Linked DNA regions of Oryctolagus cuniculus. The protein of the gene in region 6 binds, or shares a complex with, the protein of the main gene of each other region. Links are inferred from orthologs where the notes say so. Each region holds a gene or a part of one and is shown on either strand. Other genes may lie near its edges. The genes, in order: EFTUD2, PRPF31, RBMX2, SNRPF, RBM22, SNRNP40 and LSM5.

What was found.
Region 1: SNRNP40 (region 6) and EFTUD2 share a complex: the UniProt entries of both Homo sapiens proteins name them as parts of the minor spliceosome. The link is inferred for Oryctolagus cuniculus from reciprocal best matches to the Homo sapiens genes SNRNP40 and EFTUD2.
Region 2: SNRNP40 (region 6) and PRPF31 share a complex: the UniProt entries of both Homo sapiens proteins name them as parts of the U4/U6-U5 tri-snRNP complex. The link is inferred for Oryctolagus cuniculus from reciprocal best matches to the Homo sapiens genes SNRNP40 and PRPF31.
Region 3: SNRNP40 (region 6) and RBMX2 share a complex: the UniProt entries of both Homo sapiens proteins name them as parts of the minor spliceosome. The link is inferred for Oryctolagus cuniculus from reciprocal best matches to the Homo sapiens genes SNRNP40 and RBMX2.
Region 4: SNRNP40 (region 6) and SNRPF share a complex: the UniProt entries of both Homo sapiens proteins name them as parts of the U4/U6-U5 tri-snRNP complex. The link is inferred for Oryctolagus cuniculus from reciprocal best matches to the Homo sapiens genes SNRNP40 and SNRPF.
Region 5: SNRNP40 (region 6) and RBM22 share a complex: the UniProt entries of both Homo sapiens proteins name them as parts of the postcatalytic spliceosome P complex. The link is inferred for Oryctolagus cuniculus from reciprocal best matches to the Homo sapiens genes SNRNP40 and RBM22.
Region 7: SNRNP40 (region 6) and LSM5 share a complex: the UniProt entries of both Homo sapiens proteins name them as parts of the U4/U6-U5 tri-snRNP complex. The link is inferred for Oryctolagus cuniculus from reciprocal best matches to the Homo sapiens genes SNRNP40 and LSM5.

Annotation. Positions count from the first base shown.
Region 1 is NC_091448.1:18,101,092-18,104,842, forward strand, and holds part of EFTUD2 (116 kDa U5 small nuclear ribonucleoprotein component), read right to left. Parts: intron 2,821-3,751; coding exon 2,734-2,820; intron 2,541-2,733; coding exon 2,414-2,540; intron 2,253-2,413; coding exon 2,165-2,252; intron 1,571-2,164; coding exon 1,452-1,570; intron 1,343-1,451; coding exon 1,248-1,342; intron 818-1,247; coding exon 664-817; intron 497-663; coding exon 389-496; intron 71-388; coding exon 1-70. UniProt on the Homo sapiens protein: Required for pre-mRNA splicing as component of the spliceosome, including pre-catalytic, catalytic and post-catalytic spliceosomal complexes. Component of the U5 snRNP and the U4/U6-U5 tri-snRNP complex, a building block of the spliceosome.
Region 2 is NC_091449.1:4,564,715-4,569,124, forward strand, and holds the start of PRPF31 (U4/U6 small nuclear ribonucleoprotein Prp31), read right to left. Parts: upstream 2,982-4,410; 5' UTR 2,851-2,981; exon of another isoform or gene 2,619-2,850; intron 2,361-2,618; 5' UTR 2,353-2,360; coding exon 2,176-2,352; intron 2,099-2,175; coding exon 2,038-2,098; intron 597-2,037; coding exon 513-596; intron 57-512; coding exon 1-56. UniProt on the Homo sapiens protein: Involved in pre-mRNA splicing as component of the spliceosome. Required for the assembly of the U4/U5/U6 tri-snRNP complex, one of the building blocks of the spliceosome.
Region 3 is NC_091453.1:108,061,108-108,064,858, reverse strand, and holds part of RBMX2 (RNA-binding motif protein, X-linked 2), read right to left. Parts: intron 1,782-3,751; coding exon 1,652-1,781; intron 1-1,651. UniProt on the Homo sapiens protein: Involved in pre-mRNA splicing as component of the activated spliceosome. As a component of the minor spliceosome, involved in the splicing of U12-type introns in pre-mRNAs.
Region 4 is NC_091442.1:98,723,643-98,728,085, reverse strand, and holds the start of SNRPF (small nuclear ribonucleoprotein F), read right to left. Parts: upstream 2,962-4,443; 5' UTR 2,825-2,961; coding exon 2,822-2,824; intron 842-2,821; coding exon 716-841; intron 1-715. UniProt on the Homo sapiens protein: Plays a role in pre-mRNA splicing as a core component of the spliceosomal U1, U2, U4 and U5 small nuclear ribonucleoproteins (snRNPs), the building blocks of the spliceosome.
Region 5 is NC_091437.1:37,915,409-37,919,159, forward strand, and holds part of RBM22 (pre-mRNA-splicing factor RBM22), read right to left. Parts: intron 3,603-3,751; coding exon 3,573-3,602; intron 2,983-3,572; coding exon 2,850-2,982; intron 1,783-2,849; coding exon 1,682-1,782; intron 1,599-1,681; coding exon 1,426-1,598; intron 768-1,425; coding exon 567-767; intron 1-566. UniProt on the Homo sapiens protein: Required for pre-mRNA splicing as component of the activated spliceosome. Involved in the first step of pre-mRNA splicing.
Region 6 is NC_091438.1:141,099,956-141,103,706, reverse strand, and holds part of SNRNP40 (U5 small nuclear ribonucleoprotein 40 kDa protein), read right to left. Parts: intron 1,991-3,751; coding exon 1,870-1,990; intron 1-1,869. UniProt on the Homo sapiens protein: Required for pre-mRNA splicing as component of the activated spliceosome. Component of the U5 small nuclear ribonucleoprotein (snRNP) complex and the U4/U6-U5 tri-snRNP complex, building blocks of the spliceosome.
Region 7 is NC_091447.1:23,533,019-23,537,394, forward strand, and holds the start of LSM5 (U6 snRNA-associated Sm-like protein LSm5), read right to left. Parts: upstream 2,847-4,376; 5' UTR 2,735-2,846; coding exon 2,689-2,734; intron 1,584-2,688; coding exon 1,488-1,583; intron 1,207-1,487; coding exon 1,179-1,206; intron 218-1,178; coding exon 145-217; intron 1-144. UniProt on the Homo sapiens protein: Plays a role in pre-mRNA splicing as component of the U4/U6-U5 tri-snRNP complex that is involved in spliceosome assembly, and as component of the precatalytic spliceosome (spliceosome B complex).

The DNA.
Region 1 (3,751 bases), on a different chromosome or scaffold from region 6:
CCTGTTTGGCAAGCTCCAGCAACATAGGGTCGTCGAAGAACTTGCTGATGCTCACGTCTTCACTCAGGCCCTGCAGAGAGTGGGAGAGACGTGAGAATGAGGCCTACGGGGGCTGACTGGCTGGGGCCATCCAAGACCTATGCTTGCAGGGGAGGCTGCAGGGCTACAGGGGCTCATCACAGCTGAGGGGAAGGCCCTCCTTTCCTGGCCAGACTGGGCCCCAGGTCTGGCCACACGAGGAGTTTCCAGATCGCACCTGTCTACATGCAATAAACTGTTGTCAGTCTACAGGCCCTTGGGAAAGGGCTCAAGGGAAAAATGGAGAGACCCAGCTCCTGCTGAGCCCTAGGGGAGTTGAGGGTTGGTAATGGGCCTGAGGGACACACACCTTCCTCCGACGGGTTTTGATCATGAATTCTCGGGCCAGGTGAGGGGCTGGCTGGGGCTCCAAGGGGCGGATGACAATGCTCTTGTCCAGGGGATCACCGGGTACAATCTGAAAGGCAAGGGGGATTCAGGTGGTGTCCAGGCAGCCTTCCCAGAGAAGTCAAGCCCCAGAAGCAGGGCTCTTCTCTAGGAAGGCAGGGCTTGCAAGGGGAACAGGGCAAAGGTTAGCCTTGTGGGGTGGGAGGCCACACCTGCTGGCCTGAACAGCCTTCTCACCTGCCAGTGGTGGAAGACAGACAGGGAAAAGGCCTGTCCCTGGGTATGCGTCCGGAGATCAGTTTCAAACCCAAAAGAATCAATGGCCGGGATGAAAGCTTTGATGGTGTAGAGTGGCGAGCCTGGGATGGGTGCATCCTGAGTCACGTGTCCCCTGCGATGGAAAAACAAAGGCTGAGGCCTTGGCTGTGCAGAAACCAAAAGCCAAACTGCAGTGTGGCTTCTGCTGCCCCAGATGCATTCCAGCTTGGAGCTCCCAGAGTAATTCTCTGTGGAAGTCAAAGGGACAGCAACCTCTGGGCAGAACACGGGAGTGGGGACACTGAAGGGACAGGGTGCTACAGACTTGCTTCAGCACCCAGCACTCTCCACCAGGGACTCTCTGGGAGTGGGGGTGGGGGCTCAGAGGAAATCTCAAATTGTAACCTGGAGTAAAGCTCGTCGCTTTCCTATTTCTTCTAGAAAGTACACTCACTGGGTCTGGAGAGGGGAGGGGAGTCCCATCTCTCCCCCAGCACAGCAGCTGCTGCTTCCTGTACCCTCTGGCTCCCAGCACTCCCCCTAAGACATCCAGAGCTACTGACCTGCGCCTGGCCAGGACAGTGTAGACGGCAGAGACACAGTCTGCAGGGGCCTGGACCTCTACAAAGTAGTAAGGCTCCATCAGACGAGGAGTGGCCTGCAGCGGAGAGAGAAACGGCTCTTCAGCTTGGGGGGTGTAGGCTTGAGGCCGCACCAAGCTCGGTCTTCCAATTAATCCACTGTCCAGGAAAGCCCCAGTCTCTTACCATGAGGAAGGCGGAGTAGACGACTCTCCTGGCCGTGGGGATGATCTGGCCCCCACCCCGGTGCAGGGGCTCCTGGGCAACCACTGCATCCAGGATCTTAAACTTGACATTTCGAATCACTGGAAAGGAGATGCAGACAGCTGCCTGAGGAGGGCTCTGGGGCGAGTCTCCAGGGCATCCAGACCAACAGTCTTGCTACATCACAGCTGTCTCACAGATACCAAAGACACAGCACAAAGAGCAGGGCGTTCCAAAGAGATAGGCAAGGCCTGGCAAAGAGGTCTGAAGGTGAACTGTGCTCCTAGTGTTTGCCTCAGGCCATGCTCAGACATGTGGGGCTTTCCTAGACAGCACAAGACACTGAAATTTGTTTGGATAAAGAGTATCCAATTGCTAACTTGGTCCCACGGACAATAACTTGGTCCCATGGTCTAATCTTTGTCCATAAACCACTCCAACCTCACTGCCCTCTTGGTATCTCTCCTCAAACACACTCCAAGTCAAAGCCTTCCCAGGAAGGAGGAGAAAATGTCAGTCAGGATGCATCCTAACTGCGGCACCAGGGCAGGGGGAGGAAGGGAGGAAGCTGGCCCAGCACAGGGGATGGCCCTGGGTGCCCCACACTGCTTCACCTGCCAGGCCTCAAAGCTGGCGGGCCCACCCTAGCTGCAAGGTCCCTGAGAACTGGGGCGGGGAGGTGCTGACAGACTTACACTCATCACAGAGGGGCCCCTCCCGGGTTCCCCACTGGAAACCCTGGACGATGCTGTCCTTCACTGAGCCAAGAAGAGCCTTGTCCACCTGCAGAGAAACATGGGAGCTCCTTAGCAAGCTCCTGTCAACAGCCCGGGAGTTGAGGGAGAGGACACGCACAGCCACTAAGAGGATCCCCTCCATCACCAGAGGACACAAAAAGCTTCCGGGAAGACAGCACCCCAAGGTTCCCATCAGTTCTGCTGTACCTCCGAGGGCAGGGTGTCATCCACCAAGATGTTGGGGCCGGTGGCATCAGGGCCGAAAGCCCAGATGGAACGGGCAGCCAGCAGATCCCAGTCGTACTTGGTCTGGAAGAACTCTCCCAGCTTCTTCCTGGGGGAAGGAGGGAAATGGGGGAAACTCAGCAACAGACAGCTCTGTGACTGCTGGCTCCTGGGGACCTTCCCTCTCTGCAGTCACCTCGTCCCACCCACACCGTGCTGAGCAAACAGCAAAGGGGGATACGCGTGGCTTTGCAGAGGAGCTTGTGGGACTCGAGACCGGGCAGGTAAGCTGCATTCCCCACCTGTTCCATGTGATCTGGACCACCTCGTTCTCTATGTCCTCGGCAAGGCCCTTCTCCAGAGGCTCGGCTATCATGGTGATCTTGTTCCTGGCAGGAAGGACACGGGTTATGAGGGGTCGTAGGACTGGTGCGAGGGATAGCTAAGGGGTGGCAAAGTGGACAGCCAGGCAGGGATGTTTGTGCAAGCCGAAGGGGCAGGGAAGAGCAAAAAGGGCTCATCTTCTCTTTTCATTTGAATCTTTTTTTTTTTTTTTTTAATTTTATTTATTTACTTGAAAGGCAGAGTTAAGAGAGAGAGGTGGGGTGGGGGGACAGACATCCATTCACTGGTTCATTCCCCAAATGGCTGCAACAGCTGGAGCTGGGCCAATCTGAAGCCAGGAGCCAGAAGCCTCCTCCGGGTCTCCCACATAGGTGCAGGGGCCCAAAGACTTGGGTCATCTTCCACTGTTTTCCCAAGCTTTCAGCAGGGAGCTGGATCAGAAAGTGGAGCTTCAAATCGGTTCCATATGGGATGCTGGCGCTGTAGGCCAGGGCTTTAACCCGCTGCGCCCCAGTGCTGGCACCCCCTACCTGTTTTTAAAAGCAAAGTTTGGGGGCCAGTGCTGTGGCATAGTGGGCAGAACTGCTGGCCCCAGTGCTGGCATCCCATATGGGCGCTGGTTCGAGTCCCAGCTGCTCCACTTCTGATCCAGCTCTCCACTGTGGCCTGGGAAAGCAGTGGAAGATGGCCCAAGTCCTTGGGCTCCTGCACCATGTGGGAGACCCGGAAGCCCCTGGCTCCTGGCTTCGCATCAGTTCAGCTCCATCATTGCTGTGAATTCTTAGGTGAAGAATGCCACAGCACCCTGTCCAAAGGCACAGGCGGGCAGCAGGGGAGTGAGACACATGTACCCTAAATGTCCGCCCATCCCAAGACTCAGACGGCTCTGCCTCCACAGCCCGGTGCTGGGGTGGAGCTGGGGGGGAGGGTGTGCCCATTAAGCCATCAGTCCCAGGGACGCTGAGCCCCCAGCTT
Region 2 (4,410 bases), on a different chromosome or scaffold from region 6:
CTCCAGCTCGGGGAACCTCTTCGAGTACTTATCCCGGATGAACTTGTGGATGATGTCTGCGGGGGGCGGCAGCGCAGGCGGCTGAGGAGGGCGGAGGCAGAGTCCCCTGGTTCTCCCCAGGCCCCGCCTCCCCCTTCCTCTGCACTGCCCTCAGATGCCGGCGTCTCGGCAGAGCCTGTCCCGGCTGCCGGCTGAGCGAGGACGGCAGCTCATGCCCCTCCTTGCCTCCTGGCCTTGCTGGTGGGACGTGAAGGCGCTGGCCGGAAGTGGGGCGGTCGCCTTGTCCCACGAGCCAGCGGCAGATCCACATGACAGCAAGAGCCCGGGCACCACGGCGTGGCTCCCTGAGAGGAAAAGCTCCTCTCCCTACGTGAGCCACGCCGCTTCAGCGCTGTCCCCCCGCCCCCCGCCGTGCCCGCTCTCATGCACGGGGCCCGGGCAGGGTGTGGGAGAGGCCAGCAGGGCAGGGTGGCCCGGGGTCCCAGGCAGGGCCAGCTCGGCCTGGCACTCACTCAGCTCGTTCTCGATCTCCACGGTCAGGTTGTTGGCGTCCACGATGACACGGTACTCAGGGGCCGCCTCCACCGGTCCCATCACTGAGGAGGAGGAGCCGGGGTGCGGGGCTCAGTCCGAAGGCACCTTCCCCAGGGGCCCACGGCTGGGGAGGCGGGGACCGGGGGAGGGGCTGACGAGGGTACGGCCTGAAGCTGAGCCCAGACGCTGGCTGGCGGGGGCTGAGGGGGGTTGGTGAGGGGTCTCCCCACACCCCGGCGGTGCTGGTGCTGCCTGTCAGACACCAGGCTGTGAGACGCGGTGCATCCACATCCCCCCCTGCTGGGCATGGCCGGGCCTGACCTGGGGAAGTGTCCCTCCCTATGGCTTGGGAGAAGTGCCCGGCTGGCCCCCAAGCCCCGGGCTCCTTCTCTGCTCAGCGCAGGTACTCAGGCTCCGGAGTCTGGTTCAGGACCCCCGAGGCAGGACCGAACAGTCCCACCCTGAGCCCCTCCGACAACTGCCTGGGACCCGCCTGTCTCCTGCACCAGACCCTGAGCATCTCAAGAGCAGGGACCCGGGAAACACTAGGTGAAGGGGGAACCAGTTTCTCGGAGCCTCTGCTCTCGGCCCACTCCCCTCCCCCATGCCCAGCAACCTCCCCCCGCCCCGCTTCCTGGTGCCAGTGACCGCCACCAAGAGCCCTGGGTGACAAAGAGCAAGGGGCAGAAACAGGACAGCCCTCCCAGGAGCTGACCTGCACATTCAACATCTGACCCGGTGGGCCCCGATGTCAGAAGCGGGAAAAGGCTTTAGATAATAATTTAACAGTAAGTTATTTACTTTTATTGCTAACTCGTATCTACCAAAGCGTACAGTAGTAATGCTTCCTTCTTAGATAAAGGTAAAGGACAGGCTGGCGTTGTGGCAGTGGGTTAAAGCGCCACCTCCAACACCAGCATCCCATACGAACACAGGTTCGAGTCCCGGCTGCTCCACTTCTGACCCAGCTCCTTGCTAATGCGCCCGGGAAATCAGTGGAAGCTGGCCCCTGCCATGCCTGTGGGAGACCCAAACGGAGTCCCTGGCTCCCAGCCCTGGCCGCTGTAGTCATCTCCGGAGTGAGGCACCATGTAGAACATCTCTCTCTCTCTCTCTCTAATTCTGCTTTTCTAGTAATAATAATAATAAAAAAAAAACCCACAAGGATAAAAAATAGAAAGCATAGAAACAGAAAGTCAAGATTTCTAAGAAACTTAAAGGGACAAGTCCCCTGATGTCAGGTCCTACGGCTGGCGTCTCACGGCCGTGGCAAAGGCCGTGTGCGCGCCCCACGCGAGCTTGGACGCCCTGAGGTGTGCCCAGCGGCAAGCAGCAGGCGCTCAGCACAGGGCGAGGAGGTCAGAAACACCAGCCCTGGGATGCAGGGGGGCTTTCAGGAAGAAAGGGGGGCTAGGCCGGGCTGAAGGCAGAGCCAGCTGTCGGCGGGTCGGCGGGACGCAGGGGCCAGGGCCGCGCCGGGCGGGGAGGGGTGGGGGGCAGCACCTTCCGCCGCCTTCGCCTGCTTGCTGATGTACTCCTCGATCTTCATCATGATCTCCGCGAACTGCGGGAAGCCGGGGACAGTCAGAACCAGAGCCCCAACCCCCGCTCCCGGGGGCGCCCGCATCTCCCTCCTCTCACCATCTTGCTGTCCCATAGCTTGGCGATGCTCTTGACCGAGTCCCCCGAGAGATCCAGCTGCGCCTCCTCCTGCACATCCTCGATGGCCGGCTCCTCCTCCTCCTCCCCGTAGCTTCCTCCCTCTTCCTCTTCTGCCGCCTCTTCGAGGTCGGCCAGGAGCTCGTCCGCCAGAGACATCCCGCGACCTGCGGGGGAGGCGTTTCCCCTCGGACTGTGTCCCCCCTGGGCCCCCGCTCCTGGGAGGGGCCACGCCCCCAGCGCCCAGCCCAGCCCCGGCCCAGCCCCTTCTTCACCGAGCCCACCGCCGCAGGCTGCCCAGGACAGGCACTCCCGCCTGCTTCGCTGGCCGGGCTAGCCCCAGCCGGGACCCATGAAAGCCCCCCACCCAACTCCGGGCGAGCCTGACAACCCTGTCCTCGCCTCCAGGTCTCCGCGAGCCCTACCTTCCCACCGCCGGGACCCCCGCAGCCCACCCCCACGGGAGTAGGCCCGGACGCCTCACATGCAGGGGACCCCGTAAGGGACCACCTGGTTAAGCCTGCCTCCCCGCCGTCAACCCAAGCTCTAACGTCCGAGCTGTCCCCAGGGCCGGACCCCGGGCGGGGAGCGCCGTAGGACCTCCGCCTCTCCCCTCTCCCACTCCGCCCCCCGCCCCGTCCTGCGCACCCCACTCACCACGACCGTTTGCAGCAAGTGAGCAGCTTCCCCGAGCGGCCGGCGCGCACTGATGACGTCCCACGCCCGCGTCGCCGGCGCTGCGCTCTGATTGGCCCTCGGCCGCGCGTTCGGAACAACAACTTTATTAGCACCCGCGCGGAGGAGGAGACGGGGTGAGTCCCGGAGAGGAGAGCTGGAGCCTGCTGAGCGGAGGATCGCCGTGGCTGCACGACAGTGTCGACAGGAGAATACAGGCGGTGGCACGCAGACGAGAAACCCGGGACTCGGGAGGGTGGAGGTGGGGATGGCGGGGCGCGGGAGGTGAGGGCACGAGGCCGAAAACAGGAGCCCGCACCCCCCAGCCCCACTCCCAGAGGGCCCGGGTGGCAGCCCCGGCGCGCCGCGAAGCCTGGGCCCGAGGCTGGAGACCCGGCCGCGAGTCGGACGGCCCGGGGCGCCCGGAGCGGGACAGCGATGGAGCTGGAGCAGAGAGAGGGGTGAGCGGCGGGTCTGCACCGCGCGCGGGCGGCTGCGGGAGGCGGGGGCTGGGGCCCGGGCGCGCGGCGTCCCTGAGCGTCCGCGACCGCCCGCGACCCTGCAGGACCATGGCGGCCGTGGGCTTTGAGGAGTTCTCGGCGCCGCCGGGCTCGGAGTTGGCGCTGCCTCCGCTCTTCGGCGGCCACATTCTGGAGAGCGAGCTCGAGACGGAAGTGGAGTTCGTGTCCGGCGGCCTGGGCGGCTCGGGGCTCCGGGAGCGGGAGGAGGAAGAGGAGGCCGCCCGGGGCCGGCGGCGGCGCCAGCGGGAGCTGAACCGCAGGAAGTACCAGGCGCTGGGGCGGCGTTGCCGGGAGATAGAGCAGGTGGGTGGGTGCGTCCCCTGCGTGGGCGTGTCGACCTAGCTTCGCCCACGCACTCTGCCCCGGGAGCTCCCTGACACCCCCAGGTGGAAGCGCGGGCCCCCGCCTCCCCTACCCGAGCCCGGGCCTCGCCCCCCACCCCCAGCCCTGCTGCAGCTTCCCTGGCCCGGAGGAGGATGGAGCGGGAGCCAGGCTCGGCGCCGCGGGACAAGGTCTCTGGGTTCCTCCCCGTCTTGCCCGTCAGGGGGCGCCGCGGGAGCGGTCCTGTTCTGTGGCCTCTTAGCAGGGGCTCCGGGGGCCTCCCCCGGTTCCTGGCCCTCTCCTGCTCTGGGAAGCCGCGCCTGGATCTCGGCCTCTGGACTTTCCGGTGTTCACGAAGCACACAGCGCTGGAGTAGGCCTTACACAGGGGCCTCCTTTGAACTTGGTCTGCTCTGTAGGGGCCCGGTGCTGGGGTTGGGCCTCCAACACGCCTTTTCAAGGGGAGGGGGAAGGAACACAGTTCAGCCCTTCAAGTGGTGTTGGGGTTCGGGGAGAGGCGGGAGGTATCTGCTTAGCAAATGGGTGCTGGGCCCAGGGGGACTCTGTGAGCCTCTGCCCTTAGCCCACCCTCCCTAGGGATGAATCCTCATTGTCCCCGTTTGGAAATGCAAAAACGTGAGGCTGAGGCTAAGCAACCAAGCTCACACAGCTGATAAATGGCAGAGCCAGGATTTGAACCC
Region 3 (3,751 bases), on a different chromosome or scaffold from region 6:
GCCCGGGACAGTTGTACTAGCGTTCTCATCGGCGTACCCCAGGGCGAGATACAAATACTTTCATGTGAACAAAGGCCGAGAAGCACTGCCCAGGAGCACAAGCATCACAGAGGACCATGAGAATTCAGAGGGACAGCAACCAACTGCCCCACTCTGTAATACCGTATCATTAGCTGTCCTGGAAAAGCCTGGCAGCTAGAAGGAATTCCTGAAGTCTAGCTTAAGCTCAGCACAGTCGTTAGGAGGAGGTAAAAGTGGACCAACAAGTAGAAAGGTGAGAGAAATGGAGAAAAGACCAATTTCTTCTTCTTAAGCTCTCATGCCTTGTTCTACCCTCACCATACCAGAACAATCAGCCTACATCGATTCCTGTGCTGTGAATCACAACTCCCACAGGGGAATCACAAAATTGCTCCTCACTTAAAATTCATTCTGGGACAGGAGTTGCAGTGCAATGGGTTAGGCCACCACCGGGCATGCCTATATCCCATATTGGAGTGCCTGTTTGAGTCTCAGCTGCTCTGCTCCTGATCCAGCTTCCTGCTAATGAGCCTGGAAAGGCAGCAGATGATGGCCCAGGAATTTGGGCTCTTGGCTGTGGCCTGACCCAGACCTGGCTGTTGTGGGCATTTGGGGAGTGAATCAGAGGATGGAAACACTTGTGTTTCTCTCTCAATGTCACTCTGCCTCTCAAATAAATATAAGTAAATCTTTTTTTAAAAAAATTCTATTTTCTGACAGATACAGACTTATTACATAGACGAATTAATTTGAAATTTGAAAAGCTTAACTTTTATTGTTCCAATTCAAGAACAGATTTTTATTCTGTTCTTTGGGCTTGAATACCTTCATCAACTATCCTATTCTCCATTCTGAAACATTTTTAGAAGCCTCCCTTTTATGGTAACTCCCTCTGGCTGCTGGCTCCCTTAAAAATTAAGCCTGGCACACTGCTCCACTCTGTTCTATAATCTCCAGCCACTCCGTACTGGCACAACCAGTGACAAATTCTCAAAGGCAGGAGTCACATCTGAGCCTGAACAATGCTCACTCCAACTGAAGGGTCTTTGCTAAATGAGTGTGGGGATCATGTGGAGCACAGATAAACCTAACTTGTCCCATCCTCTTCTCTCAGCTCCAGGCCTCACTCACAATGGGGGAGATGAGAGGAAAGAGAGAAGGGAGAAATCCCAGAATGAGTTTTTTGTAGAACTGGTCATCAGATTTTCACCAGAGAATTTCCAGGGCCCAGTGTGCTAGGGCACTGGAGACACATGACAGACAGACATGGCTGTGTCCTATGAGGCCCAACTCCACCAACATAGCACACATGGAAAAACACATTTGCTAGTCTCTTTGCTCTCCAGTGCACCAGAGATGAGGGCAGAGGGTGAAGAGGGAAAGGTGAAAAATGCAGGATGGGATGGGCGGCAGGCATGTTCCTGGGGAGAAGGCTTGCTCACATACGGGGGAAAGGAACAGGTCTTGACAGGGCCATGGGCCAACAGCATCATCTCCTGAATCACTTTCTGAAGAATGCCTCCACACCTCTGTAGTCCTTGCCACACACCCAGCTGCCCAGTACTGCCCCTGCACCTGTACGGATAGACACACAGAGTCCAGCCAAATTCTGTTCACTAGGCATGCTCACCTTGATCCCATTAAAATTGTCAACAGCCAGAATCGTGCTCCTCTGGTCTTCATAGCAGAGGAAGCAGAAACCTTTGGATTTTCCAGTCTTCTTGTCCCGCACGAGATTAATGTTAACAACCTCCCCATATCTATTTATGTGAGAAAAGAGTAAGACATCATTGACTCAAAATGCAAAAATATTCAGACTGTTCATAATAAAACAAAATTCAACAATGTACTCCAGGCAGGAAACACATCTAGAACAAGGTAAGATAGAAAGGTTGAAAATAAAAAAAGACCAATTTAAAAAAGGAGTGGAAATACTAAGATTGAAGACAAATACAAGGCCAAATTAAAAACACTAAATGGGACTATGAGAGCATGAAAACTCTTTTACCTTGAAAAGGGTTCTAATATATAACAAAGGTATAAGTCATTAAGTTTTATGCATCAATTAAGAAATCCAAATTTTTGAAAAGCCAGTAGAAATACAAAAAGAAACTAATAAAACTGTAAGAGATTCTAACACATCAGTAGGTTCATAACAAAGTTAACAGAAATAAGATGAGAAAATAGACAATTGTATAATAACAATAAACATAATTAACATACCAATAATTATATTAAATATGAAAAATCAGGCTAGTACATATATAGCTATTTTTGAAACCTATAAGAAGATGACAATTTCTTTTCAAGAATTCATGAACTGGCCGGCACCGCGGCTCACTAGGCTAATCCTCTGCCTTGCGGCGCCGGCACACCGGGTTCTAGTCCCAGTCGGGGCACCGGATTCTGTCCCGGTTGCCCCTCTTCCAGGCCAGCTCTCTGCTGTGGCCAGGGAAGGCAGTGGAGGATGGCCCAAGTACTTGGGCCCTGCACCCCATGGGAGACCAGGATAAGTACCTGGCTCCTGCCTTCGGATCAGCGCAGTGCACCGGCCGCAGTGCGCTGCCCGCGGCGGCCATTGGAGGGTGAACCAACGGCAAAGGAAGACCTTTCTCTCTGTCTCTCTCTCTCACTGTCCACTCTGCCTGTCAAAAAAAAAAAAAAAAAAAAAGAATTCATGAACTTTGGATTAAAACAGACTACAGATTAGACCTCAATAAAGTTTGAAAATAGACCTCGATAAACTCCAAAAATTAGACTAGACTACGTTATCCAACCACAGTTACAGTGTTGGAAATAACGTTTTAAACAAAAAAAATACCCTACTAACAAGAACTTGGAACCTACTCTTCTAACCAGTAACCAGAAGAAAAGAGAGTAAAATAAAATAAAGCTAAAAGTCAGTGGTAGACTATTTAGAAAAGAACAAAAATACAAAGAATATACACCAAAATTTATAGGATGTGGTTAAAACCATACTCAGGAAAATCTATAACCTTAATGAATTTTGTTGTCTAAAAAACAGAAAATGAATATAAAATGAAAGCAAACTCATGAAAGACGGCTGCAATAAAGATAAAGCAGAAGTTAAATAGAAAAAAAATCTAGGGGCCAGCATCCTAGTTCAGTGGGTTAAGCCTCCAGTTGCAACACCAGCATCCCATGTGAGTGCTGGGTCACGTTCCAATGCTCAGCTTCCAATCCAGCTCCCTGCTAATGTCCCTGGGAAAGCAGCAGCAGATGGTCCAAGTGCTTAGGTCCCTGCCACCCACGTGGAAGAGCTACAAGTTCCAGGCTCCTGGCTTGGGCCTGGCCCAGCCCCTGCCATTGAGGCCATTCAGGGAGTGAACCAGTAGATGGAAGATCTTTGTCTCTCCCCCACCCCCTACAGTAATTCTGCCTTTCAAATAAATAAATTTTAAAAATTTATCTTGCTCCTTACAAAAAGATAAATTCTAGATAAGTTAAAGCTCATATTATATGATGTTATATGATCACACACATCTTACATAATAGAAAATACTAGAGGTGATTAAACTAAGGTCAGAACTATTTAACGGCATATTAAGTATGGACCAAAGCAAATGAGATAAAACAGAAGAAATGAGAAAGAAGAAATAAAACTATTTCCACAGTTTATACATTAAAATATATATAGAAAACCCAAGAGAATGAATAATAAACTGATTTAAAAAACAAGCAGTATAATAATTCAGCAAACAGGAAATAA
Region 4 (4,443 bases), on a different chromosome or scaffold from region 6:
CCCAAAATGATTAAATTCACAAAGTAGAAAAGTGGTTACCAACAGCTAGAATCTGGGGTACGGGGGTGTTACTGCTTAATGGGTACAGAGTTCCACTTTAGGATAATGAAAAAGTTCTGAAATTGGGTACTAGTGGTAGCTGCAAAACAATGTTCTCACATACTATTACTGAGTGACATCTTTAAAAATGGTTAAAGTGGCCAAATTTTTATGTATATTTTATCACAATAAAAAAATTCACACCAAATCCCCCCCCTCACTGGCAAAATCATTTACAACTAGTTTAACCAACATAGTTCATCAATTCTTTCAGCTAATCTGTCTTCCCTCTGAAGAAATGCTTCTAGTTGATTACATTAATGTTGTGCCTTTAGCATTCATTAAGAGACAAGAATTTCACTTGAAAAATATCAGATTTAAGCGCTGGAAAAAGGTTTGCTTTTGAAAGCAACTCATGTATTTCCCTTATTATATGAATAATCAAATGCCTGAGTCCTCCTCACTTTACCCACCACGAGTAAGGTCTGTGAATCCTGGCCTAACCCCGTGTCTTGTACCTAGTCTATCAGTTGTAACATCCTCCCTGGCCTTGACTTCATTCCTGAATTTTGTTCTATCTTTGCCAACTGTATGAATTATTAGTCACACGAAACCTTGGAGGAATAAAGTGGAACAGAAGAAACACAGTGTCACCACCCTTTCACCTCTAGCTTACCTGCATGTTCATATAGCCGTCTACAGACACCAGGTAGCCCTTGTACTCCATTCCCCACTTGAGTTTCACCATCACGGGCTTCCCTGTTAATCCATTGAGGAAAGGTTTGGGATTGAGGGGTAAACTCTGCACAAAACAAACAAACAAAAAATCCATTGATTTTTTTTTTTCCTTAACTTGGCTTCCACTCCTCACTCTCCTCTACCAATCCACCAATCAATATTTTGTAACATCCAAATGAAGCAAACTCTTCACTCCCTATCACTCTACTACCTAATTTCCACTTTTGTTTGTTGAAGAGCATCTGGGAAATTTTTTTTTTTTTTTTGACAGGCAGAGTGGACAGTGAGAGAGAGACAGAGAGAGAAAGGTCTTCCTTTGCCGTTGGTTCACCCTCCAATGGCCGCCGCTGCAGCCGGCGCACCGATCTGATGGCAGGAGCCAGGATCCAGGTGCTTTTCCTGGTCTCCCATGGGGTGCAGGGCCCAAGCACTTGGGCCATCCTCCACTGCACTCCCGGGCCACAGCAGAGAGCTGGCCTGGAAGAGGGGCAACCGGGACAGAATCCGGCGCCCCAACCGGGACTAGAACCCGGTGTGCCAGCGCCGCAAGGTGGAGGATTAGCCTAGTGAGCCACGGCGCCGGCTAGCATCTGGGAAATTTAACCAGTTATCCCATTTCGTCTTCAACCCATCACAAAAAAATAAGTGTTCACGCTGCACTTAGGAGACAAGCGGCACCTGCAGTCCTCAGTGTCGCAAGCTCTAAGGAAACAAAGATGAAAGCCCTACAACAAACGTGTAACGAGGCTCTGTCCTTAAGAAGCCAGGGTGGGGGTGTGGCGCTGCAGACATACAGACAATTATATTGCAAAGCAGTAAGAGCGATGCTATGCAGAAAGGCCCAACCAACTCAGGAAAAAAGACAGGAACGGGCTGCCTGGTAGGAGCAATGCCTCCGTTTTAAAGGGTGAAGTCTATTCCAGAGGGAAAGGGGACCGCTGGAGGCCAGGGAGGCTTCCCATCTGGAATGACCGTGTGTATGTGTGCGCTTGCGCGCGTCATCCCGAGAACAAGCAGTACGGTCAGCATCCCACTCGGGGCAGGACCAAGCTCGGCAGGGCTCGGTCCTCACCCGACCGGTGCATCGCCGGCGAACCGAGTCTCTCCGCGCTCACCTCCTCACCCCGAGGAAGAACCCAGACACCGCTACTAAATCGCGGGAAAAGTAGGAGGGCTCCACCCGCAATAACCGCCTAACGGCCCCCAGCTCCCCACTTCTCGGGCGCAGCGAGCACACAGCCGCTACGACGTGTGCCAGAGCGCATCCCATCGGGCCTGATGAGAAAGCTCCGACGGCTGCCGAGGGCGCCGGGGTAGACCCTCCACACGCTGCCCAGGTCCTGGCGCTCTCGCAAGCGGTGGCCGCTTTCGGCCAACACCCACCACGAGTGTAGCTGTCCCTCCCTCATCGTTCCGGAGCCCCATTTCCTGTCACCCGGGCTCGGGTGAAAGCCCCCCTCCGGGGGCAGCCGCGGAAGGCGCCCCAGCGCCCCGGGGCCGCAGCCTCCCGCCCGCTCCCGTCTAGGCCGGTGCCCATTTCGGTGAACAGCGCCTGACGGACGTCTGTCTCTCACACCCCGCCCAGCTCGGCCGGTGCAGGGTCCGCATGGGCACTTCTCAGTCTCTAGTCCTGGAGCCCAAGACTCAACCTGGCCAAGTCGCCGGCGCTCAATAAGCGTCAGAACGAATACACGAACGCTCCGGGGCCTGGGCCAAGGCGGGCTGGAGAAACATCACCGACGGAATAAAAGCGGCTTCATGAGTGCGACGAAGTGGGAAACGCAAACCGCTTCAGCGTTTGCTACATCCACCCCGACTACCTCTTTCTTCCCTGGACTCAGAAAGAAGAGGCAGCAGGAGGCGAGGGTCGTCCCAGCCAGGAAGGGACTCGCGCGCGTCCGCGGAACCCGCAGACTGGCGCCCCGGTGCGCTGCGCCTCGCGGATGAATGGGAAAGGCGCGAAGCCGCCACCAGGCTCAGCCAGCCCGAAGTTGCCTTCCCGCCCTCTCCGTCTCGCGACTCCAGCAGTCCTCCCTCTCCTTACCATCACGACTTCGGGCTAACGTTGCGGATTAGACGCCGCCGACGCAGATACAGCCCGTCCCGCGTGCTCGGAGCAGCTTCCCCCAAGGCCCAGACCTCCGAAGTTGCAAGAGAAATGGCCGCCAAACCTCAGCTTGACCTTTCACCTCCCACCACCGCTCTTTCGCCTTCTATGATTGGTCAAAAAGAGGCGTGTGCTGATTGGAGGAGATGGCGCAGCCGTGTCTCCCAGCAACCAGAGACGCGTTCGGCGTTACTAGTCTTCTCCCCTGCCTTGAAGAACCGGCTGTGAGAGGCCGCGTACCCTGTGGCGCACACGTGATTTCTCGGCAGCTTGGCTAATGGGGGGTCGCTTTGTTAGTTTACAACGGTGAGAACGCGTTCGGGGCTCTCAGGTCCCCGGGTACCGCGATTTGGGGGCGCCTCTGCCACAGCCCCCTTCGACCTGAAGGTTGTCTATTCGGTAGCACCCGTTTCAGCGTTCTAAGAGGAAATGAGAGGAGCGGGCCTGGAGGCGGGGAGGTGAAACGGAGGGGCCGCGGCAGAATTCTTTGCAGACTAGGAGCCAGGACCTCCCCCGGGGCGTTGCCCGCGGGCCCCCGGCCCCGCCGGCCTGGGGAGCACCTGCGGCAGCACGGGCTGATCGGTGCCCGCGACGCAGCCGCCAGCCCCTCTCCGCGCGACCGACGCTGGACTAGCCCGGATGGGAGGTGCTGAATGCAGATCTCGGAGAACTGGCGCTTGGAGGAGGACCGCCTGCTGCTGGACACCCCCCAGAAGATGCGTTTGGACTTGAGCTTTCAGGAGATGCTCGCTGTGACTTACGTGTTGTCGGTTTAAATGATGAGCAGCAAGTCAGGGTGATCATCAGTGTGGTGTAGACCGAATAGCTGTTAGAATTATTTACCCCAAAGTGCACTGGGTTTTTTCTGGTTAGTCATCGTGTCGTGGATCTTCAGCTTTTAAGAAAAAAAATTCTTAATTTTCTTTATGAGAGAGCGAGAGCGAGACAGAGAGCGTACACGCTCTTGGACCTACTGGCTCAACTCCCCAAACACCCGCAACAAGCCAGGCTGAAGCCGGGGGCTGGGAACTCCCAAGTGAGTGGAAGGGACCCAAACTACTTGAGCCATCACCTGCTGCCTCCCAGGGTGCATTAGCAGGAAGCTGGGTCAGAAACCCAGCGGGGACTCCAAGCCAGACACTCCCATCTGGGATGTGGGCGTCTTAGGCGCTATGCCAGATGTTACACCCCTGCATCTTTAACTTTGCTATAATCTTTAGTTCCTAACTTTATGTCCGGCTCTTTCCCAATTATTATAGAAATCACACAGTGTGATCTGAAGTTACAGCTGAGATGAGAAAAACAGACTTGGCAGAGAACTTGCCCAGAGGCACGTAGCTGGATTTTAACCCCAAAACTGCTTTCTCTACTTCATAAAGCCACCTTTCAGCAACTTTAGAAAATTGGCTACATTCCAGCCTGCACAAAATGAGCCTGGAGTGTCTTGTTATGCAGAAGTAGGAAAAATGCTCAGAGTGACGGGGTCATTCAAAAGGATGTCCCAATTTTGACAACTTGAACATCAAATATGTAAAGACAGCCATGAATTACGACCCACT
Region 5 (3,751 bases), on a different chromosome or scaffold from region 6:
TGCTGAGCCGTGGGGCCTATCGAGCTCACTTTGGTAGGGTTTGATGGAGACAGGCTACCAAGAGCAGATGATAAACCTACAGGAGGTTCTCCTCCACTTTCTCTTTGGAAGAGGTCATTTCCATTACCATCTGCCTAAATGTTTCACGAAGCCAAGCACAATACAAGCCAAAATAAAACAAATTTATCAAATACCCGCTTCTCTCAAAAGCCAACAATTTAAACCATCAGGGTTTTATAATCACAAAGCTCTCCCTCCCCTACATAACCAACCCTGTCTGCAACTGTGCCACCCTTCAAAATTCTCATCACCAACTGGGTCAAATAGAATCCTTCACAACTACTTTCATATGCAAGGATGGAGAAGCACTCTGAGGAACACTACTACTCTGGACTCCTAAAGGGCAATTTTATAGAACCTGGAGTCGGTATGAACTAACGACAGAGTAGCTGAACACTACCACACTGTGTAGAGCCTTCTCACGCTTGCCTGTGTCCTTGCAAATAAATTATCCCAGGGCAGTTAGAAGCAAAAAAAAAAGAGTTCTTAAAATTATACACACACACCTTAGATCTGTCTCAGTAATGGTATCACCCAGACCCCCAACATAGAGTGTGGTGATGGTCTTGTCCTCTGGTGGGTCCAGACGGGGCATGGTTGAAGCCCGTTTTAGAAGCTTATCCGCTACAGGATCATTGATTCCATAATATCGGTCTTTAATATTCTGATCAGCAAGGGGATCATCTGGATCTGTAGGCTTCTCATGTCTATGATTCAAGAAAAAAACAAGTGTCACGGTGGAAAAAAAAAGTTGGCATTATCCAACAGTAGCTACACATTAAAGTCGTAAATACACACCCTGATACACTTTTTGAACTGGAAATGATGGTCACAGCAAAAAAGTAACAACCCAAACAAAGCCGCGAGGGATTGGCGGTTAGGGACAGACTCCCCAGTCTCCTAGCAGCCGTTTGTAAATGGTTATTTGGGGTGTGAGATTTTCCTTTTACATCAACTATCTTTTGGGAGATGGGGGTTTACCAACTCCAAGTTAACTCCTAACCCAGGTGCTCGGCTGCTTTGGCTCCAACACACCCATGCATCCTTTGCAAGTCTGGTCTTTTTTACTTCAAGTATATGCTGGAATCAGACCCATGACAGTGAGATCTTACTTCTCAGGTAGAAATTTTAGGGTTTGCATCTACATTATACAGCCTAGCAATGCAGTGTCCCCAGGCTCACTCATAAGTAAAATCTTCGATTTAATCAAGCTCCTCTGAATTTAGCGATTTGAGACTTGAGTTCTATCATATTAGTTGTATGAGCTTTACACTTTAAAGCATGTATAATCTCAAACTAGGATCTCCCACTTTTCAGATTATCAATCTTCTGTAAACAAACACCAAAAAGCAGCCCAGGTCTTGCCTGTATGGACATTCCTCGCCTCTTTTACACTCTCCTTTCACCCAGAAGGAACAAATGTGGGGCCGGTTCCGTTTGTAGTAGGGTGTGGTCCGGGCCAGTTTGAGCAGCATGTCACTGGTGGAGGTGGCCTTCCCCAGCATGCCGACTGGCCGTGTCCCATCAGAGTTGGAAATCTATAAAGACACATATATAGACTGAGCCAGTTCATCAGGATTCTTATCAAATATACAACTACAGCAAGAAACTGGCAGCATACTTCTCTCTCCATATTCTGTGTGTAGTACTCTTTGTTGACGTCAGATTTTGGCATGTCATCTTTAAAAGACAGTCCTGCATCACGAACCTGGATGGGCAGGCCTGGTACAAAAGAACAGAGGAACTAGATCCATCAGGTATATTTAAAAACAACAACAACAACAACACAACACCATCCTTCCCTTCTCCACCCTCCTATTTCCACACACTTGATTTTTATTCAAACCCTCAGCACAGAATCTTAAGGAAGCATCTGATATCCCAAGTCATTATGCAATTTGATGAAGTGAATGCTTTACAAAATCTTTTAGATGAACACACTTTGGTTTTAGTCACATTTCACATTTGACCTTTAAATGAACGGTGTATCTAGCTTTTATTACAGTATAATTTGTTTAAAATAAATACTGGCACAGTGACTCTCTGAGCTCAACACACAGAAACTCAGCAATTTTCCAGTTATTCTGAAACAGCAGTAGAGTAACATACTAGTTCTAACACCACCACTGAGATCAAAGTCTAAAGCACACTTAGCCTATGCACATCTGGTCTGGACTGAAGCAAAGAAAGCTTCATTAAGAAAGCAGCCCCAGGCCAGTGCCGCTCAATAGGCTAATCCTCTGCCTGTGGCGCCAGCACACTGGGTTCTAGTCCCAGTTGCTCTTCTTCCAGGCTAGCTCTCTGCTGTGGCCCCGAAGTGCAGTGGAGGATGGCCCAAGTCTTTGGGCCCTGCACCCGCATGGGAGACCAGGAGAAGCATTTGGCTCCTGGCTTTGGATCAGCGTGGTGCGCCGGCCGCAGCGGCCATTGTGGGGTGAATCAACGGAAAAGGAAGACATTTCTGTCTCTCTTTTGTCTAAGAGGAAAAAAAAAAAAAAAAAAGCAGCCTAAGGCATAGGATCAACGCCTTGTACCTCAGCTTGGCTACAGAGATGGAGACACAGGCCAGTTCTGGTTAATTCCTTGCTTTCCCTTACAGTTTCTACTGTTGTCAGGAGCACTCTAGAATGGCCTGATTATAGCTCTGTTGTTGGGAAAAGCGGACTACGGGCCACATTCCATGGTGGAACAGAACCAGAGGCAGGGTGAGAAGCAGGAGACCAAAAGTCCAGCTTGTTTAGGACCCCTGACTGTACTGAGAGCCACACGACTGGACAGGGCAGACCTACCATACTCGAGGTCCAAGAGGCAGGTCTGACAGACATTCTTCAATTTACTGCAGGTCTGGCACACTTCAGTCTTCTTGAAACGCATGCGGACCCCAGGGCACCAGCGGAACACAGTGAATGGCCTGGCACAGATCTGGAGCACAAAGAAAGTGACAATATCAATCCAGGCTCAGATAATCAACTCATAAATTCATGGAGGATTCAAGAAAGGACCCCAAAATCTAGGGCTTAGAAGATGCTGTACCAGCCATTTAAACTAAATGAGATCTAATATTTCAATCTAATTTACAGCACCCCTTCCTAGTCATTGAAAAAAAAAAAAAAAAAAAAAAACTCACACAGTACAGGAATGAAATATCTAGAAAGTCAAAGTCCCTCCACCAGAGGTACTATTAATAATCCAAGCCTTAAACTTTTCGGGGGGAGGAACAGGAGCATCATTCAATCCTTTCTAACTTCCTCCTTCACTAAGACACTCATGGTTATCCAACATCTGGTATACAAAACTGACCATTCAATGCCCATCCATGAACACCCGGTTAGAGTGCTCATCTTCTTACCTTCCAGACCAAACTGTTACCAGTCAGTGAAGACGTAAGTGATCTAAGAAAGCCCTGAAGCACTCACTTTTATGGAGGACCTCAGAGCTTGATAAATGAGGGCTGGTTTGGGACAGAAAAGGAAACTATAATGAAATCATTACTCTTTAACAAACATACTTACTTTGCATTCCTTTCCATACTTTTCTTTGGTCTGAAATAGAAAAAATACAGCTAGAATTATACAGAAAAAGAACCAGATATCTATTCTTTCCATAAATACAACCAAGAAAAGTATCTAGAGATCTCTGGCATCTTAAAAAAAAGGGGGGGAAAAATCTTTGTAAGGAAACAGGATGCTTG
Region 6 (3,751 bases):
AGGCGTGCTACCTGTTAAGGCTTTTTTCCTTTTGTAGGGGAATCAATGTATCCAAGTCCCATTAGCTGGGGTTAAGGACACAGAGGAAAGACAACAGGATAGGAAAGAGAAATGCTACATCTTTTTAAAAAGATTTATTTATTTAAAAGGCAGAGTGAAGGAGACAGAAGAGATCTATCTGCTGGTTAACTGCCCAAATGGCTGCAATGACCAATGCTGTGTCAGGCCAAAGACAGGAACCTGGGACTTTATCTGAGTCTCCTCCATGGGTAGCAGAGGTCCAAGTACCTGGACCATCTCCCCAGCTTTCCCAAGCACATCAGTAAGAAGCTGGATTGGAAGTAGAGAAGCTGAGACTTGAACCTGAGCTCTGATATAGGATCCTGGAATTAAAGGCAGAGGCTTAATGTACTGCACCACGGTGCTGGCCTATTTGTCTTTTCTTAGAAGCCCATTTTAAGGTTCAAATAAGACAATAAGGTTCTAAGAATTGGAGGTAATAAACAGAAAATTTCTTAATCATAATAAGAAAGTAAAGATGTTGATGCAATGAATTTGAGTACCCATGGAGTGTCTGGTACTCTTCTTTTAAACATTTTTTTTTACTTACTGTGATTTATTTGAAATGAGGGGGAGAGAGAGAGAGAGAGAGAGGGAGAGGGAGAGGGCGAGGGCGAGGGCGAATCTTTCATCTATAGGTTTACTCCCTAAATGCTCCCAACAGAGGGGGCCCAGCCAAGCAAAAGACAGAAGCCTGAACTCAATCAAGGTCTCCCACGAGGGTGGCAGGGACCAAACCACTGGAAGCATGACCTGCTGGCTCCCAGGGCATGCATCTAGCAGGAGGCTAGAATTCGCAGCCAGGATGTGAACTCAGGTACCCTGATAAGGAATGCAGGCATCCCAAGTGGTGTCTTAATCACTGGGCCGAATGTCCATTCCCAGGTACTGTTTTTGATAAGAAATGCCAGTGAATGCATTTTAGTTCCTGATAAGCCTGTGAATTTCTGTATCGGGGCATTTCCAAACTCTCCCAATATTAACTATGCAAGAACACTGCATAAAGTTCATGAAAAAATGGAATTAAAAGATAGTGCTTGGGCTTCTGCCACCCATGTGGGAGGCCAGGATGAAGTTTCTGGCTCCTGGCTCTGGTCTGGCCCAGCCCTGGCTATTGAGGTCATTTGGGAAGTGAAGCAGTGGATAGAAGATCTCTCCCTCCCTTTCTCTGTGTTGCTTTGCCTTTCAAATAAACAAAGAAGGAAAAAAACCTTAATAATAACAAATAGAGAATGGGCAAGAATATGTGTTTGTATAAATCTAGAACACTGAGATGTTTTAATGAGGACCTCTTCTCACTTCAGTATTATTAGGGAGGGAAGATACATTGGCAGAAAACACAATAGGTCTATTGATCCCCCAAGTTTGGTACTCTCTGAAAATGCTTGTGAAATGCCTTGAATGGACCACTGGATTCTCATCTTCCATATTAACTAATCACTAGAGTTTCTTGTAACCTGCATGGATTCACTGTGTATCAAGCTGAAATGGACCTTAAAAAGGCAAGTCTGGTCCTATAATTTCATCATTGTAGAAACTGATGCTCAGAGAGGAGAAACATTGTGTGCAAGTTACTATTCAGGGACTAGATGGCAGATCGGGGCCCAGAGTCCCAGATTCTTGACCATATAGTCTGTAATTTTTCCCTTTACAGTGTCTTCTCCTAACTGCCTAGTAGAATACGAGAGCCGTTCTTGACTTGTTCCTTGGACTCTTCCTTCATCCCAGTACACATTTCTAGCACTCAATGTTACTTTATTCACAGTGACAATGATTGGGCATTGGGAGAGCTTTCCTCTGCAAAGTTACCTGTATTGTCCATTGCATTGGACAAGAGATAAGAGCCTTCAGAACTTAAACTTAACCCAGTCACTGAATCTGCATGGCCTCTCATGGTGTAGGTTAGCTTGTTTTGGCGTAGGTCCCAGACCTGCAAAAACAAAAAGGTGCTCCTAGAAATCAAGCTGAAAAATAGTAAAGAAACATTATTACGCAAGAGTCAATGGCCTGGGAAATCTGGCTCTGGGCCACATATTACTTTACCACAAAATATAGGATTTCTGTTAAAAAGAAAAGAACTTGCATTTTCCTAAAAAAGTCAAAGTTACTATGTTTGCTTAAATGTCATATACTAAGATAAAGTTTAACAACAACAAAATTTATAGAGGTTCTTCAAGAAGTATTTTAAAAATTTATTTGGAAAGCACAGAAAGAGAGAGAGAGGCCAAAAGAGATATTCTATCTGCTTCTTCAGTCCCCAATTGCCTGCTAGGGCTAGGCTAGGACCCTCCATCAGGGTCTCCCATGAGGGTGGCAGGAACCCAAGGATTTTGGTTATCAGCTGTTGATTCTCAGGGGGGCATATCTGCAGGAAGTTAACAGTCAAGTAGAGCTGGGACTCAAACCCAGGTACTCTGAGAACCGGATGCGAGCACACCTAGTGATGTCTTAACCACTATGCAATGTACACCCCATGGAAGTTATTTCCAGATCACAACAAAATGTACTGGGCATTAGTGAAAAAATTAAATGTCATTTAAAACATTTAAACTGTGATTATCAGCCACCAGTTAATAGTGGCATAGCGGTTAAGACGCTTCCTGGGACTCATCTGATGTAGAAGTGCCTGGTTAGTGTCACGGCTCCCCTGTTTCAGATCCAGTTTCCTGCTAATGAGTGGCCTGAGAAGCAGCAGATGATGGTTTACGTACTTTGGTCCTTGCCACCTATGTGGGAGACTTAGTTTGAGTTCTGGGATCCTGGCTTTGGTCTGGCACAGCCTTGGTTGTTATGGCTATCTGGGGAGTGAATCAGCAGATGGAAAATCTTTTTCTGTCTCTTTCAAACAAAATTAAATCACATAAAAATTAAGAAATAAAAGGGAACTATCAGAACTACATAAAAACAAGTAACATTGTAATTTGAAAGCATCGCCATTACATGTAACAAAACAATATACAAAAACAGATGCTTAATTTTTATTTAACGTTATAATATGTACGCACATGCGCACGCACACACACATATAACATACATACAAACACATATAAATACAGTTTGGAAAAGTGTATTTACTTTAAAAAAATGCAGACTCACTATTGCCTGTATAGGCAAGGTAAGATAAACTGTTTAACTGGAAATAATCTAAATGTCAAATATAAAAACAGATGGTTTATTAAATTATAGTTCACAAGCACACTGGAGAGTTCTCTTACAGGAGACAGGATGGCATAGTGGAAACAATGGAGATTCAGGGTCAGAAGGAACTGGAGTTTATTGGGCCACTAAATCTTTCTAAGCCTGTTTGGGAAAACAGAGATTATAGTATCTACTTCTTTCGACTGCTGTAAAGATGTACAAATGAGAGTGCTCAGCATAGGACTGGCACATGGCAGGACTGCAATAATTGGTAGCTATTATTAAGCAGTTCCTAAAAAAAAAATCTCTGGAGCCTGAATGTAAAAATATTTACATAATAAGATATTAAGCAAAAAGGAAAATACAAAGCACTATATTTACATTTACTGCAACTATATAAAATAAATATTAAGACCGACAGAAATAGTCTGGATGTCACATGGAAAAAGAACAGCAATTGTGTTAAGGTCAATGGTTTTATACAAAATTTCTTCCAAATTTTATTTAACATTGCTATGTAGTCTTCATAGGAGAATAAAATTCTTGCTATTCC
Region 7 (4,376 bases), on a different chromosome or scaffold from region 6:
AGCTTGGCTTTAGGGCCCTGACTACCAGACAATCTCTTTCCCACCCTAAGCACCACCAAGCCACGGCATGAGTGAAGCAACCGGCAACATTACTAGTTAGGTCTGTAAGCCCTGTCCCACAGAAACAGTTTTAACGTGTCTTACCATTGTTATATTATTTCCATTTAGCAAAATCTGATCTAATTTAGTGATCCTTCTTCCTTCCGGTGTGATTTCACTAAATGAAGTGATAAAACAGAAAGTCAGGATAAATGGTGGTAACCAAAGGCAGCATTTTAGAAACACCTTCTCTCTCTAAAAAGGTAATGTTTGTATAAACGAAAGTTCAGCAATTATAAAGGTGATTTTCAGAGATAAAAGTTATCCACTGGGTAATGTACACTCTTCATCAAAAGCAAGAGTAGACCAATGGATATAAATAAGATCCATAGCCAAGGGGGCTGGCACTGTGGCTCAGCAAGTTAAACTGCTGCCTGCAGTGCTGCATCCCATACAGGCACTGGTTTGAGTCCTGGCTGCTCCACTTCCAGTCCAGCTCCCTGCTGATGTGCCTGGGGAGGCAACAGAGGGTGGACCAAGTGCTTGAACCCCTGAACAGATGTGGGAGACCTGGGGAAAGCTCATGGCTCCTGGCTTCAGCCTGGCCCAGCCCTGGCATTGCAGCCCTTTGGGGGAGTAAACCAGCGAATGGAGGATCTCCCTCCTTCCCTCTCTTTCTTTCTCTCTGTAACCTGGCTTTTGAATAAATAAAGCTTTAAAAAAGATTCACAGCCATGAGACTTATCTTCAAAAAAAAAAAAAAAAAAGGTGGAACCTGCCAAGATCAAATATAAAATATTTAGTAGACTCACTCTTTAACATTTTGTATTACTACTGATTTCTACCCACTAAACTACTATGTAACTAATACTTATCACTTACATTTTACATTATATAGTTAAATGTTTTCATCATCAGGTCCTTGATATGACCTGAGCCTTAAAATCCCTGCACGTTAACATCTGTTACCTTCAAGCTTTGTCTCCACTAATTTCCTAGCAATTCAGCAACAATTACATAACTTTTACAAGCATTAGTAAATAAAAGTTGCCTCTACTTCCATTTTGCTGACTAAACAGTACTTAAAATGTCCTGAATTTGAAAAAGAGCCGAGTTCTGTCATTTTTAGCACTACTCACAATTCAGTGACATCTTCCAATACCATATCTGAAAGGTGGTGTTAAGGAAATAAACACTCCAGGTTGAAACAACTCTGGTTTCTGCTTTCATTCAGTTGTAATGATAATATTTAACACAAAGGCTCATAATAAAAAGGCTGACTGTTGGTAGGAATGTGACCTTCTTCCAGTATACTCACCTCTGAAAACACCATCACAAGTGCCCTGAGATGAACTGACTTTTATCGTTAACACCCAGAAACACACTGTCTACGGTTCTGTTATTAAATAAACAGGAAAAAGCCACAGCACCACGTTTTAAAAGGATACTGACGAAGTCATCGAAGCCAAGAAGGGTGCCAACAATTTCCTTATCACTCTTCATCACAATGTGAATTCTGGATCCTATACATTTATCCACAAGCTCTGCGTGAGCAAAAAGATTATTTTACCCATTCATCATTTTAGCACATACTCGAGTGCACGCTGGCATTTGTTACTTGCCAAATTCAGTGAAAATTAAACTAGGAAGAACATCCCCCTTTGGTAACCTCGGATCTTAAAATGCAAACCTCTGCGCTCCCACTACTTAATCAGAAGCCTTTCCACTTCTCCTTTCTGTGCAGCAATCTATCATGATTGTGGCTTTATCTTTATTCCAGATCACGTGATTAATTTAGGGACACAAACACATCCCCCCAGACTCTTAAGCGCCACGAGCCCGGACACTGTGCTCATTTTCGCCCATCGCTGGATCTTCAGTGGACAGGGACGGGCATTTACGGGGCTTTCCACGAGCCTAATCACTGAAGTCCGTCAACGCAACCACTCCTCGCCGGCTACACAATGTCAGAGGCCGCTGACCGTCGTCGCGGGAGCCTCCTGTCACCTCCTCCCTCGCCAGTGAAGCCCCGCGGTGCTGGGGGCAGCTTCAGCACCTCTGGCCAGCCTGGCACGGGGGGCACAAGGTTTACTTGTCCAGTACTGTCTCCTCCACTGGCTTGTGTACCCTTCGGGAGCGATGGCTGTGGTTTAAGGTCGCTGTGGACTAGCACGCAGGAAGAACACGGGCTCTTACTGAATGGATGGATGAATGAATGAATGAATGGCAAACAGGGCTAGTTTCCAGATTCCTCCTCTAAGGCTCGTTCCACAGCGCGCTGCTTCCCGCTCAACTCCCAGACACACAACAGGGTGAACCCCATCTGGGGATCCCAAATGCCACTCCGGACACGGCGCCGCAGCGCTCCCAACAAACACGGCCGACGGTGCGCTCGCCCAGTGCGGCCCTCTCCCGCCCACGGTTCGTTCCGGGGGAGTCCGAGGAGCTGCCTCCAGGGGCAGGAGCACGTTACATCGCAGCAGCGGCCTGGCGCGCAGGAGCTCGGGAGCCGGCGCGAGCCGCGGAGGGGAAACGCTCGGCCCCACACATAGGCCCGCTACCAGCCAGGGGTGCCTCGGCCGCAACCCCGCGGCCCCCAGTCCTGAACCCCAGCCTCCCGCCCCAGCTCCCTCACAGGAAAACCATTACCTAGCGGCAGCAGCTGCGAGGGGTTCGTAGTAGCGTTAGCCGCCATGGCTACGCCGGAAGTGGCCTGCGTCCATCGACGTTCCACGGTGACTTTAAAAGAGCGCGCCTGCGCCTTTGCCCGCGGCCGGGCAGGCTCGACCAATCGCAGGCCGAGCGGGCGGCCGGCGTGCTCCACGTGGGCGGCGCCCGCGCGCTGCCTTGCTGGGGAGTGGGAGTCCTGGGGTGCTGCCCTGCAGATTCGTTCCCAGGCTTCGGAGAGACGCTGAAGATTGCTAACCTCCTGAAGGAGTTCGTCCTCCGACCGAGAGGACAGCGCATAAGGAAACTTTTGGCTTGTTTTCCCATAAAATTGTCTTTATAAAGACTAGTAAAAATCAGTATTTCCCGCCACCAATTCACTCTTTGACAGAGTTACAGTGAGAGAGACAGAGAGAGGTCTTCCGTCCGCTGGTTCACTCCCCAAATGGCCCCAACGGCCGGAGCTGGGCCGATCCGAAGCCAGGAGCCAGGAGCCTTCCCTGGGTCTCCCACGCCGGTGCAGGGGCCCAAGGACTTGGACCATCTTCCACTGCTATCCCAGGCCATAGCAGAGAGCTGGATCGGAAGAGGAGCATCTGGGAATACAACTGGTGCCCTTATGGGATGCCAGCACTGCAGGCGGAGGATTAACCTAGTGTGCCACAGCACCGGCCCCAAAAACATTCCTTTTCTTGAGGCTTCTGTCCCGGTTGCTCCTCTTCCAGTCCAGCTCTCTGCTGTGGCCAGGGAGTGCAGTGGAGTATGGCCCAAGTGCTTGGGCCCTGCACCAGCATGGGAGACCAGGAGAAGCACCTGGCTCCTGGCTTCAGATCAGCGTGGTGCACCTGCCGCAGTGCGCTGGCAGCAGCGGCCATTAAGGGGTGAACCAACGGATAAAGGAAGACCTTTCTCTGTCTCTCTCTCTCACTGTCCACTCTGCCTGTCAAAAAAAAAAAAAAAAAAAAGTAAAAGAGGGGCCAGCGCTGTGGCGTAGCAGGTAAAGGCTGCCTACAATGCCGACATCCCATATGGACTCCGGTTCAAGACCAACTGCTCCTCTTCCAATCCAGCTCTCTGCTGTGGCCTGGGAAAGCAGTAGAAGATGGCCCAAGTCCTTGGGCCCTGCACCTTTGTGGGAGACCTGGAAGAAGCTCCTGGCTCCTGGGTTCGGATCAGCACAGCTCCAACCCTTGTGGTCATCTGGGGAGTGAACCAGTGGATAGTGCCTCTTCCTCTCTGTAGTTCTGCCTTTCAAATAAATAAGTAAATCTTTTTTTTTCAAAATGGTTTACACATTTTTTTTTAAATGTAAAATTTTGTTTTATACTGAGGATTTATAATAGCTTTTTCCTTTTAACTTGTTGCTACTTTCTTAATTTATCATCCTTGCTGTATCTAAAACTCTGTAGTTTATTGAAAGCTTATTTACTACTTATTCAACAAAGTATTATCTAAGGCTATCACCAGATGTCAGTCTAAGTTATGTGTTAATATCATCACACTTAGAAAACATACTTTTACGTTTCTGTTTTGAAAATAATAGCAAATTCTCTGCCTTTGTCTATTTTACATTTGTATCCTAGGAACTCAAACAGTCTAAACATGGGAGGCCACAAAGATCAATTATTCAAACAACAAACAGTTGTTAAGCAGCCATCATTCCTTCCTGG